Linked DNA regions of Drosophila melanogaster. The protein of the gene in region 1 interacts with the protein of each later gene in a pairwise test. Each region holds a gene or a part of one and is shown on either strand. Other genes may lie near its edges. The genes, in order: CG6138 and CG33191.

The links.
Region 2: the proteins of CG6138 (region 1) and CG33191 interact in a two-hybrid assay, tested with the Drosophila melanogaster proteins (one large-scale study listed by BioGRID).

Annotation. Positions count from the first base shown.
Region 1 is NT_033779.5:10,565,204-10,568,758, reverse strand, and holds CG6138 (uncharacterized protein), read right to left. Parts: upstream 1,505-3,555; 5' UTR 1,377-1,504; coding exon 819-1,376; 3' UTR 747-818; downstream 1-746.
Region 2 is NT_033777.3:8,777,604-8,781,708, forward strand, and holds CG33191 (uncharacterized protein), read right to left. Parts: upstream 2,321-4,105; 5' UTR 2,234-2,320; coding exon 803-2,233; 3' UTR 776-802; downstream 1-775. Other genes in the region: Pif1B (PFTAIRE-interacting factor 1B), read right to left, coding at 1-324; Pif1A (PFTAIRE-interacting factor 1A), read right to left, coding at 324-338; CG33189 (uncharacterized protein), read right to left, coding at 2,596-3,129.

The DNA.
Region 1 (3,555 bases):
CAACTCTGGACCTCAATTTCGCCAAGGGAGCAGTCAGAGAAATACTCACAAATAAACACAAAAATCAAAGGCACGAAAAGCGAAAGCAAATTGCTTGAAGGCCTCACCTGTACAAACCAGTCCCTGGCGAACATTTCAATACAAATGAAATCGGCAATGGAAACGGACAGAGAGCAAATTTCATAACGAAATGAAATTAGAATTTTTCGGCAGTCGAGGAAATTGCTGCACGCACGCAAACACCAGAAAATATTGAAATTACATCCAGGAACGCAGAATTCAAAAATATATATATCGCCCAGCACTTCTATGCAAAATAACCGCAGGCCATTTGTTTGTAGACAAACATTTGGCATTCTGTATGCCGGTATCTGAGCATCCGAGAGTGGTTTGCGTGCCCAGTCAAACGGAAATGGGCAAATGCCTACGCAAATGTGCGCATTTCAATTAAATTTCCGTTTTAATCACTTTTACAAGTTCCATTGCTACCATTCAGAGTGGCCAGCATGGGTTAAGCAGGGGGTCAAAGCCCCATGTTGTTGGTATGCTCACTCATTAAAACTGTGTCTGGGGTCAGGTCATGCGAACTAATTTGATGACGTGGATCCGTGATCTGCCATCCACTTCCGAGCTAAACTTGTTGAGAATCACGTAGAGAGGCGCTTCACTGATGAAGGATTTGCCGAAGTGGTTCCACTAACAAGAATGCTTGTATACCTTTTTCAAATATTTCAAATATTATAAATGTTATTCACCATTTATTAAATATGTATGAAACTTCAATCCGCTTACTATAATTTTGAAAAATACTATGTGGCCTAATTTGTAATACTGTATCTGCGCCCGTCCGCTATAAGTGTAGTTTCACTGTCCGTGCTCTCCTGATTGTACTCTTTGTTGTTCCATACCAAGTGAACAGGTATGCTGAGCGAGATTCCCGACGATGCGAAGCTACGGCTGGTGATTGTGGTGTCCGAACTGCTTCGCTCATTGCCCAGTTCCTCGTAGGGCACCAGTGCCCTATCTGAAGGATCTGAAGGATCCTCCTTATCCCAATCACCCAGGCCGCACTCCGAAATGATGGGCGACGAACGGGCTCCGCTTTCCGCCGAGTTCCACGCCTTATCGCTGGTCCTCTCGTAATTGTTGTCCACAATAGGCAGCAAGGATGGCAATGCCTCCAGTTGACCTCCAGCTTTCGATCTCGGCATGGAACGCAGACTCTCCTCTACGGGCAGCGAACTGCGCCGCAGGAGCTTCTGCAGCGTCTTGAAGGATTCACGCATCTCTAGAAGTTGCCCCTCATCGTAGGGTTCGGTGAGTGGAGTGTTTGGCACCGACAGGGCGTTGATAAGAAACTCCAAGTCATCCTCCATGGCTTTTATTGATTTCGATGATTGTTTGGTATGTTCCAAGAAAATTAACTTTATTAAAATTTAGAAATTTTATTCAAATTTGATTTCTATGCCGACGATGAGAAAAGCAAAGCTATCTAACCCCAATGCCTCGATAGAATCTTTAACTTTCATTATTAGAAAGTTGTATATTCTCTTCATTTGTATAAATTACTTTCTTATTACTTTATTGCATATTTGGTCTATCGCATCATCTTGTAATTTGTGCCTCACCATTGGTTGTCCTTTTCGAACTGCAAACTTTTTTCATTAATTCCGTCTGAGGGCTTTAAGAATGGCATCTTAAGTTCCTGTACCGCCCTAATCTACATCCTCCCACCGCTCCATCGTTCAATCCGACTCCATCCCTACCGAATTTTGCTACAAAGTCATTACGAACAACTTAAGTTTGTGTTAAACACGCCTACATTACCAGATTTTGCATTTGGAGCGGCAAAAAGCAAAGTTGAGGGAAAGCAGCCGAGGCAGAAGCGAACTGCAAGAAGTGGAAAACTTGAGTTTGGGTCTCCGTGTAATAATTGTAATTTCGCAGTTGCCGGAGGAGGAAAGCGAGGCAAACCGAGGAAAACACGAAAAATAACAATCAGAAAGCATTTAGCAGCAACTTCTGAAAGCGAGAGTCCCAGGGGAGCCGAGTTAACCAAAGTGTGTTCGCTTGTCGACGCCAGGTGGCTTCCTCTATGGTCGAGTTGCAAGTTCGTGTGTTGCCGATCAAAGTAATACATATATGTGGTATGGTGGCTCCCCTTTTTCGTGTGTCAACGCATAGGAAAACTTGAACGGCCGGAGGGAGAGAAAACCAGAAACAAACCATGAATTCCTTTAACGATTAAACAAGGAGCAGGATACCATATAGGATACAGTGTTCCTTCCTCCTTCTCCCTGCAAAGAAACACACATAAATCTCGTTTTGGGGTGTATCCCAGAGTGTGTGTTTCTGTTTCGCCTGGCGTGGCAATTTTAATGGCCTGACCTACTTACTGTTCCTGCTTTTTATTGATCACTTAAAGTAACTAGCGTTTCGTTTAATTGCGCAAATTTCAACATAAACATCAGACTACGTAACTTCTTTGCTCACGTGAAAAGTTTTACCACCGCTTGTCCTGCCATTTGTCAGGCATCAGAAAATATGTTTAATAATCTGAACGCATTACCAAAACAGCAGCCACTGTGCAAACAAACGGAAGTCGAAAGAAAGGCGCTTGTGGTTTGGGGCACCAACGGGGTTGCAAGGATAGCGACAAGGAGCAGACACATGTAGACGACTCCAAAAGACTGAGGACTCCAGACAGGCAGACAAAACAAACAAAGAGGGTGAGATGGAAATATATCAGGAGAGGCGGGGAGCAGCGAGGAGACCTGTGATACCAAGGAGCATATTTTTGGACAGTGGACCAAAACGCAATGTTATGCCTTCTAAAATAATTGATGAAGATGGATGTACAAATTAAAGAATCGTTTTGTCAAGTTAGGCTTACTTGACGCATGCAAACCATTTCTTAAAGTTCAAGGAATGTGTGATTTTTAAACTACATTTTTTCCACTGTGCCGAGCTGCCTGCCATTTGGTGCTCGTCTTCCGAGTCGCAGAAGCCTATTAAATAACATGGTCCTACACATGCGACCTCCGAGGAAGGAAGGCAGTCAGCAGCCGAAAGTTTTGCTCACAATTTCCAGGATAACGTAGGACTCGCAGGAGTGAGCAGTCGCAGTCGGAGGAATCCGAAAAGTGGTCACATGAAAATATGAAAATATTCATGGCTAAACAGGAAAAAAAAAGCCAGCAAAATAATGACGACAACAAAAATACAAGAAAGTGGAGGGAAAACCCCGACAAAGTAGAGGGAAACTCGCATGCAGGCAAATGGCAAAAAGTAAACAAATAAACAAATGGGATCGGGCTGTGTATCCTTCGTTTGATGGAGGAAAACTTCAAGAAGGATGACGATGAGGATGCGGTAGTGTGGTTGTCATCCACCCATGTCTTAGATATTTGCATATGGAGCTGGAGCAGCTTCTGCCTTTACTATTTGCCCGAGTGAGGCATCATTGGCCAAATTTAGGGGAAAATTCTATTATTTTAGCTGCTCAAACAACTACTCAGACTCCCAGCAGTTAGTTGTTCACTTTGTCAAACAGAT
Region 2 (4,105 bases), on another chromosome or scaffold:
TCCACATGGACTTGGATCGGTGTTGCATGCACAGGTGTGAGCTTTAACCGCTGGTGGATCGGCGGACTTGGACCTCTTTGCGGTGCATGAGCAGGACGCCCCATCATCTGGATTAGCCTTCGATTCCGGGTTCTTAGGCGTGTGGTGTTTCTGCAGAAAGGAGACCGCCGTCTGCGATGGCTTGTCATGAGGGTCTACACGATCAGATTGTTGCGACTGTTGGGATTTTGACGGCTTCCAGTGGTCTCTCATGTGGGATGCCTCGGTTTGTTGATGGCGGGAGTTGGGGTCGCTGTCGGAATGTCGCTCATGCTGCATGTACATCAGAGCCGGGCATTCTGTGGATGAAATGTTTGGGATAAAATAAATATCTAACAAGGATTTTATACATCAATTCAGGTAAAATAAGAATCTGTTAATAGCCGGCCTTCTGTAACCCTTCAAAAATTCTTGGCTACTTCAGGTTTCTTGCAAACATCTTGACTTGCACGATATTCCGAAACATTGAGCCTTAGCCGCTTACATAAGGTAAACGACATAAGTATGCCTTAAAAAATCAAATCCGTAAACAGGATTTAAAATGTGGGAAATTTCAATAAAGAGAAGTGATTACAATTGACATATAATAGAAGAAAACTGATCAGCAGGAAAGTTAGCACGCTTACGATATTGTGGCGGCTAAGGCTCGAAAATTCGAGCACTCTTAACCGATACCGAACCGATTCCTAAAACCGTTTCAACTCGATTCCCCGGCTAGAACACACATAATTCGATTCGATTTGATTCGGTGAGCAAACACATTTTATTCGATTGGATGGCTCGTGGGTACGAGCAGTTCCTTGATCTCATTGAGTTGGATCTCGCGACCCCGCGTGATTTCCGGACGGGACCACATTTCAGCGTGGTACAATTCTAAGAACTTGGCCTCCGCCTTTTCGCGGCACGGACAAAAATCGAAGTAGGAGGTCTGGCTGCAGACCTCCCGATCCTCGAACTTAGTGAAGATGGTGCCGCGCTGTACGCATCGGCAAACCTTGACATTGGTGTGCTGCTGGTTTGGGGCAAAGGAGCGTTGCTTCCACGGACACATGCAGCAGCCACAGTTGCCGGGACAAAACACATTGCCTTCCTCGTCCATAATAGGACTGGGATCGAAACGGCACGGCGAACAGTTGGAGAACTCCTTGTTTTGAGGCAGGGCAAGGTAGTACCGCTTGCTTCCCGGCGATCTTTCCGGCGGCGGCGGTCCCATTTCTTCTTCCGGCTGCGGTCCTAACATCTCCTGCTCGCTAGACAAGAGCTCATCGGATTCATCCGACTCGGTGATCGGGTGTTCCGGCTCTGGAGCATAGATTATCAAGTGCTCCTTCGGGGCCGTTGGTTCTATCTCCACCAACGGTTCTTCAATTGGCAGTGGCTCAGGCACTGGGGTAAGAGTGAGCTCTGATTCGATATCCGGCAAGGTCAGGCAGGAGATTGAGATGACCTCCCGTGCCCCCGGGTCGTGCCAGCGGCAACATGTGGCCGGAGTGCAACGGTTACACTGAGATGTTGAATCCCCACAGCTTCCTATGTATACCGAACTGGCGGACCCTTCGGCTAGCTGTTGCGATGCACATGGACGAAAGTGTTTGCTGGCGGATTTACCTGAGCTGGGCTTTGGAGCCCTTGGACCGGAACGCATATACTGCTGCGAGCGGCACTGGCAGATGGACTCTTTGCGATGCCTGGTGACCGGTTGTTTCTTTTGCTGACACTTGACCATCTTGCCGCTCTGCGGATTGAACTCCAGCGGCATCTGGACGGTGACGGGCTTTCCGTGCAACGGACAACCAGCGCGACCCTTCTTGGGGTCCACCAACCGAGCGGTCAACTCCAGGGTGACGGCACATGGCTGATTCCAACCACCTGACTTGTCAAAATTCTTGAGTAGCATCTGTGTGGCATTGGCCGCCCGTTCCAGGGCATCCCGTATCGCAGCCGGATCATCGAACTTGCACCGGCTGGTGGCACTACGGCCCTCCTTTGGCGAGTCCTCACCCGGACCTTGACAGTCGTAAAATAAGTCCTGTTCGCTGCGCGTCTGCTGGAAGTTTTCGCCTACGAAAAGCAGTCGGGTGGAGTCCAATCCGCGACTCAATGTCATGGAGCTCTGGTTAACGAAATGACTCCGGGAGTAGTCACTCCGAGCGATGCTTGGATCGATGGGCTGATTAGAGAATTCCTCGTCCATCACGCTTAAAGAGCTTGAACTGTTTTCCCCAAATCAAGCTCTGAACTCACATTAAATTTTAAAGTGTGTGTTGCCTGCTCGATTGTGTCTAAAATACTGATACCAAATGGAGCACAATAGTGACAGTATTGAAAACGTGACCTCACTGGCCTGCTAGTAACTCCTATGAATTTTCGATTTTCCTACGCTGTTCTATGTGTGGTGTAGCCAAAGCAAAGCGAAAATTTATAAAGATACCCAACATACCCAGCAATTACCAGTGAAAAAAATGCATTTCCCAAACATAATCCAATTTAGTCACCAATGAATTTTGAGAAAAAACAACTAAGTGAGCAAGACGTGGCTCTTGATAAGTTTAAAATTTACGTGTTTTGATTAGGTTCCTGGCAATCGGGACACACTTCATCCTTGTTGGACCACTTTACACTCGATCTTCTGCTCTTCGACTTGTTCTGATTTCCAGGTGCATTGCATCCACAAAATGTGCCAATTGACTTGGGCTGGAAGATGTTGACTTTGACCTGGCCGCTTTCCGGATTCAGTTCGATTGGCAGCCTCAGGGTCACTGGGTCGCCGATTAACTTGCACTGCCTGTCCTTGGGGCAAGGACACTTGTCGTCCGTATGTAGACGGGCACTGACCTCCAGGGTGGCCGGATAGAAAAGTGTCATCAAAGGACGAGTTGGCACGGAATCAGTGCCTCCGTAGCACCTTAGCAACCGCTGGGTGGCAGTGGCTGCCCGCTCCAAAACGGCCCGAATCTGGACAGGATCGTCAAATCGAGGCGCTTGCTTGCAGATCACTTCATCACCACCGCCCACTTCCAGATCTGGAGTCTCCTCGTCGTCACTGCGGCAGTCATAAAAGATGTCTAAGTCCTCAAACTCGCCAATCATAATGCTCAACGTTTAAACAATTTGGATTAATCTGATGCCGTTACGAATCTGCCGATAAAACAGTCTACTCTATACAAAGACAATAATCTCAGAGAACTATTGATGTTGAATTATAATGTTCCTGGTTAGCTTCCTATAATTAGATCTAATCTGAAGATCTTATACACGGCAACCTTCAAGGAGACCGAAATAAGGGTCAGTCACTTGGTAATTTACATTTATGTTTGGTGTATTTACATAGAAATAAAGCTCTATTTCTTAGCTCTGAACAAGGTGGAATTGCTCCTCTCCACGGGAATGTAGACAGTGCAGCAGAACTCCGATTCCGCCTTGTGGTTATGGAAGAGCAGAAGTCTTGTGTGGATTCGCTGCTCGATTTGTTGCAAAAGCGCCGAAGATGCAGGCTTAAGGGCCAACTTTAGGTTATGGACACAGTCCAGAGCAGCCACAAATCCTTCATAGCTCTCCTGCGTCTTCTGAGTACTCTTTTCAATCCACATGTCTTGCAAAAATTCAAGATGCTCACGGAAATCCTCTCCGCCCTCCCATAAGTGAAGAAGACGGGTCCGGAATGCGGCAACATCGAGGTATCCGTCCACGGCGCCCTGAATCAAATCCACGAAGCACCTGGTTCTCAGAGGCATCAGGAGCAGTCGTTGCTCCACACCCACATCGACCTGTGTTCCACACTCAATCGTCTCTGGTTGAACTTGCATCTCCTTTTCATTGCACTGTGTCGTGACCTGAACCTCCTCCTCCAGGGTTTTCACCTCGTCCGTTTGTACAAATGACACGCTGGCCAGAGATTCCCAATTAAGATTAACAACTTCAGCGTGAAGGGAGTGCAGGGAAATTCCGGATCTGGCCGAGTGAACCGAGTGAACTGACAACAGAGAGTGGAAACTACTGCAGGAGAGGCTCTTTTGAAGAGGGAAACCCAGAGTTCGATTGAGCGTACGTGGACGGTAAATGTGAC